Bombyx mori: one gene and its partner. The protein of the gene in region 1 interacts with the protein of each later gene in a biochemical or structural test. Links are inferred from orthologs where the notes say so. Each region holds a gene or a part of one and is shown on either strand. Other genes may lie near its edges.

What was found. The genes of interacting proteins can lie anywhere in the genome.
Region 2: of the proteins of ubiquitin-like modifier-activating enzyme 1 (region 1) and ubiquitin-conjugating enzyme E2 H, one has a biochemical effect on the other in vitro, tested with the Homo sapiens proteins (3 studies listed by BioGRID, with this or other methods). The link is inferred for Bombyx mori from reciprocal best matches to the Homo sapiens genes UBA1 and UBE2H.

What each region holds. Positions count from the first base shown.
Region 1 is NC_085114.1:15,610,872-15,613,382, reverse strand, and holds part of ubiquitin-like modifier-activating enzyme 1, read right to left. Parts: intron 1,764-2,511; coding exon 1,588-1,763; intron 1,077-1,587; coding exon 855-1,076; intron 504-854; coding exon 252-503; intron 1-251. UniProt on the Homo sapiens protein: Catalyzes the first step in ubiquitin conjugation to mark cellular proteins for degradation through the ubiquitin-proteasome system.
Region 2 is NC_085133.1:418,426-421,706, forward strand, and holds part of ubiquitin-conjugating enzyme E2 H, read left to right. Parts: intron 1-31; coding exon 32-160; intron 161-1,229; coding exon 1,230-1,390; 3' UTR 1,391-3,281. UniProt on the Homo sapiens protein: Accepts ubiquitin from the E1 complex and catalyzes its covalent attachment to other proteins. E2 ubiquitin conjugating enzyme that transfers ubiquitin to MAEA, a core component of the CTLH E3 ubiquitin-protein ligase complex.

The DNA.
Region 1 (2,511 bases):
GCTAAGCAGGGCGGGGTATCATTCCCCTACAACCTTTTACTTCATAGTAACAGGAAAACATTTTGGAAGGGTTTTCATTCTAAAATTTGTCTGTGCATGTTAACTGATATTAGGAAACATTGAATGAGAGAAGGCGTAGTACTTTAATATAGTCGTTACTCTTGCATAGCTGTATTGAAGGGCAGTGATCAGGTTATTAGGTAGACAGTATGTTTACTACGAGTAATAAAAAATATGTTATATACACTTACTCGCACACTCTCAATAGCATCCAAAGGCTGAGTACCAGGCAATTTAAGACAGCGGTCCAAGAAATTCGGGTCCTGCAAGTATTGGGCAGCATGCTCAGCAGCCTGACGGAATAAACCTTCGAATTCATCGCGAGCCCATTGTAGTGTGTGTTCAATGGCATTCGGGAAGTTCTTGAGCGTACAAATAGGAATACTCTTCTCGGGAGGGTCCTGGGATGAGCTGTAAGATTCCGTAAGGAATGGAACAACCACCTAAAACGTAAATTACTGATGTATTAATGTTATTTCTTTTGATATGATTATATCTTGCTTAATATTTTCTTTACTTATATATTATGAAATATTATTGATTTATGTTTAAAAGATTGTGAAGATTCAGATATCAGTATCAAAACAACTTTTTTTTAATTTACCAAGTTTGAATAGTTAATGATACTTAAAAATCTTTGTGTTTCCAGTATAAGTACTAGACAACGTTAAATCAATTCATAACTATTATTTTCTCTTAGGGTTCTAATTTATATTTGATCATTAACCAATTAATTTTATTCAACGTTTCATGTTATTTCAAATTGTATCTCAAATGCTTTTGATTTTACTAACCTGTGTATTTCCTTTAGTTCCAAGAGTGCCACTCTCCAATAAAGGTTTTCTATAATACACACACCGTCTGTCCATGTATATACGGGCGTCGACATTGTCGAGTGCATTGGCTACACCATCCAATGCTTCAAAGAATGCATCATTGTAGACGGACTCGGTCTCAGGGCAAACTCTGTTTTCTTGTGCCAAAACATTTACTGCTGGATTCATGCGTTTAATTACCTATGACAAAAAAAATATATTAAAAGTATTTGAGTATTACAGTATATATTTATAGTTACTGGTGGTAGAACCTCTTGTGTCTCCGCACGCGTAGGTACCAACACCCTGCCTATTTCTGCCGTGAAGCAGTAATGCGTTTCGGTTTGAAGGGTGGGGCAGCCGTTGTAACTATACTAAGAACTTAGAACTTATATGTCAAGGTGGGTGGTGCATTTACGTTGTAGATGTCTATGAGCTCCAGTAACCACTTAACACCAGGTGGGCTGCGAGCTCGTCCACACATATAAGCAATAAAGTAAAAAAAATATATATTGTGTAATATCTGAAACCAACTAGGGAAACATTAAAACTTAGGCGAGCAAAAACATTTATACATTGAATTTGAAACTAAACTGAAATTCACTGGTTCAGGGAGTAATCTCGAAGCAAACCCTGTGTAGATGGCTACTCTTGTGCTCTCTATAGCAGTACACAAGTGATCTCAAATGTCATTACGAATCCAGCAACTTACATTAGCTGCAGTACTAGATTTCGGTTTCTGTACATCATAAGGCCTAAACAAGAACTGCCTGTTGAGGTTAGACTTCTCAATGAGGTCCATATCCGTGACTGTAATTTGTCCTCCATCAGCACCCACACCAATCATGGCAAAGTTCTTTAATAATTCACATCCGATAGCACCAGCACCTGAAGAGATAAACTTCATATGATACTATACTAATATTTTGTGTAGCTTCATACAGATAGTTCATATTGACTATTATTCATTAGTAAATTACCAATCTTGAGTTTACAGAATTATTTATGTTCCATATATGTAAGAGAGCACACAGGTTCCATAAAGTTGAGTGTGAAACCCTTTTTTTTTTTTTTTTTTCCTGGCCGAGGGCCGAACCTCCTACGAGGTCCCCGCGCCTAGGGGGCGCGCGGGGTATGTGAGACTCAACGATCTGCAGGTGTTGAGAGCAGACCGCGGGCCCACCCACTAAACGACTCCCCTGCACTCTTACACCTGGCGTCCGATCTCCGTCTGGGGTCAAAACCCGGTCAGAGTAGGGGGGTTCCCGCGGTCAACACTACAACCAGACACGCGGCGCCACCCCGAGGACGCCCGACCGACGGGTCGTCGAGGCGATAGTCGACGACCAACGACGTCAGTCTTACTTTTTACTTTTAATTACTTATTACTTTATGTTGCAATTTCCCAAACAGCATAACATATTTACAGAATAACTGATGCTAGAAAATTTTGTCAAGTTCCAAGGGATGGTAACAATATTTGTTTGCAGATTAAAAATACAGTGTGTGATATAAATTAAGACTAGAATAGATATCAGTTGACCATGGGAGCCTTTCACTCCAGAATAGTCTTGCACATAAGGAGAATGACAATAATTATCATTCTCCTCACGTGTCAATCAATCAATCCTTTTAA
Region 2 (3,281 bases), on another chromosome or scaffold:
TAAGGTTCTTGATCTCGTCTGTGTGTTGCAGACTTATCGAATATATTTGAATCGTTTCTGCCGCAACTGCTCACCTACCCGAACCCGATCGACCCGCTGAACGGTGACGCGGCCGCCATGTACCTGCACAAGCCCGAGGAGTACAAGAAAAAAGTCTGTGGTGAGTTTCCTTACGACAGGAACAACTATAATATGGTCATATAGATCGGGACCACACTGCAGGGTGATGGCCAAGTCTTCATAAATCTTAATATCCACTTTTAACGTCACAGATGTGTCTTATCTCTTATCCAACACTCGGTCATAGCATCTGATAAGTGTAATAATATCTTGCTCGTTTTTATTTGAGAAAACAGTTTTCCTATTTCTGCCGCGATATTTGAAGGGTGAGATAGCAATTACTCACGCTGTCGTCTGGGATCTGACAATCGCTTAACACAAGCGAACCTACCCATGTTAAATATATAGGAGATCATCGTCTCCATCACTGCTGAGCAAAGAATGAACCTAAGTCGTCTAAATGTCCACATTGCATCACTTTAAAGTGGGTGGCGCATTTACGTTGTAGGTGTCTATGGGCTCCAGTAACCACTTAACACCAGTGTGCTTAGTGCGAGTTTTTTAACGTTCTGGATAGCGTAATAGTTAACCCTATTTTATATGCAGTTGGAACAGCGCCCCTAACGGCAAACGTAGGCAAACGATTCCATTCCATACAAATATGAGTTAACTTTTACGCTATCGAGAACGTTAAAAAACTCGCACTAAGCACACAGGCGGGCCATAGCTCGCCCACTCACCTAAGTAATTAAAACAAGGGTGCGTGTACTTGTGTACGCGCGTAAAAAGTTATACTATTTTTATTAAATTTATTTCTTTTTTTTTTAATATTAAATAATTAATAATAAATATTTAACGTTAATAATTTAATAATATTTAGTATGAATTATATTAAATAATAATTTTGTCATTTATATTACTAAAAAATGAATGCTAATAACACTTTTTTTACGAGTGTACATGCGCGAAAGTTCACCTGCGACTATATTCAGACTCGCCAAGTTACGTCGGTCGTATTGTAATGAGCGATTTAGTGAGCAACTTCATTTCTGTTAAATTTGTGTCACGGTGCGCGCGCATCGTAAAATTTCACTCTCATCAATTTTTCATAACGCGCCTAAAGTATAACTTCAAAAAAAAACCTCAACCGAAAACTTTCGGGTTCGCAGACTACGTTCGTAAGTTCGCCACAGAAGAAGCGTTGCTAGAGAAAGACGCGATAACAGGGGTCGGGGCCAGCGCCAACAAGGCGAGCAACGGCAACGACTCGGACTCGGAGTCCTCGATGAGCGACTTCAGCGAAGACGAGGCGCACGACATGGAGTTATAACACAGACTGGCCCGGACCGCAGCCCGCGCGAGGCCGCTCACCGCCACCGCTCTGTGAACGCGTACGAGAACAATAAAAACGTTCGTTGATTCGAATTCGAATTGTAACGGTTTTAGTTTTCGAATTTCGAACCCGGAAGTCGCACTTTTTGAAAGTATCGTTGAACAACCGTATCCGTTTTGGCTTGTTTCGTTTTGTATTCGAACGACAAGAGATTGAATATAATTGTTTCTTAAACTATTGAGATATTAAAACTATATATAATTGGTGTATTCAATTTTCAGTGGTCTATTAATTTTTTTCGTATCAAAATTCGTTTTGTTTCACTCTAATGTACTTACTCAATGTATTAATCCAATTACAATTTAAAATAATAATACTACATGACACCAAACAAAACACTAAAGCACTATAGTGAGATTAATGTTGTATCTGTATTTGAATAATAAAAATCGCTGCTACAGATAATATTAAGATAATGGGGTTGCCAATAAAAATATTTTTCCACACGCAGAGAGACAGCTTCAAAAAATATATATATTGTAAAAAATAATTAAGGATTCGATCGTTTTATGTAGAAAAGTTCAAAGTCACTCTCTTCTACGACTAAAGAAAAATTTATATTCATAGCGTTAATTCGGAAACGTAATTGTAATGAAATTGAACGTACATTGTTTTCTAAAATGAAAACGCCTACCGTGTTCACAAGTGCTCACAATTAGCAGTTGGCGGCTGAGTTTAGTGCTGCTCTGTAGTATAGGTACCCATAACAAGCGTCAGGGCTCCCATCAGGAAAACGTACTCGCACAGTTCCGCGTTGAACCATAAACTTGTTGCTTTATAAATGAAGGGCTGTAAATATCCTGGTAAAATTAATACCGACCGAAACGCGTTCGCAGGTGAGTTTGGTCACACAATGAATCTTGATAGGCAAATACGAACTTAATACTGAAGTACGTCTGCCGCGGACAGCTGTCAACATGAAGTCAACACAAAACCACTACGGCCTTTTAATCCTAAAAGGTACGTAAACTTTTGCCAGATCATCAGAAATATATAAATATATATTTTTTGGTTGGTTCTTTTCGGCATAACGCGGTCGGTGTGTAGCGATGTTCTTGTATTTTTATGGAATTGTAAAAACGGTAAACGGACCCTAGGATTGTTGGTGATTCGTCCTTAATAAACGAGGCTCGTGATGAAGCACGGCCAAGAGACCGGTCACGAGGTATGGTCCCGGGTGCTAACGACCAGAAAAGGGTGGCTCTTCTCCAGATACATCTTCCCCGTCATTCATGGTAGTGTCTTTACTGTCTTTTTTGTTGTACATTTATACTTTACCCGCATGGAATACACTGTACTTTAAGTGGCTCCAGCACTGGGTAAAAAGTGACTTGTGTTAACGCCCAATATTCAAACTATTTCCATCCCGATTATCGTTGTTTTTTTGTTGTATTTTTATACTTTACCATATCATTAAATAAATAGGTACCTGCCTGCAGGTCTGCCATAATCGTGTCACTGGACCAGAGCACCGGCTGTCTTTTTCATTAGGCCACTAGCCCTGTCTCATCTGCGATCCGGTCATAGGTCTCTGAACGCTTGGGGTTATTAGTCGATAGAGCTTCGATATAATTCGATATTTCGACTAAAAAAAATAAAATAAGAGTAATCAATTTAGAACGCCTCTTTTTTTTCGAATTTATGGACATGTTAAGTGTCGGTTAGCACTTTGGGAAGGTGCGAGTCTGTACCGTGTTTCGTTACGAGCGAGTAGAATACGCTTTAAGGTTAGAAGCAATACGACAGTCGAAGTGTTCACGTTAAATCAGAGAATCTTATTGTAAAATGGAGAAATTGTAATATTAGATATTTAGGATTTTAAAGGTTT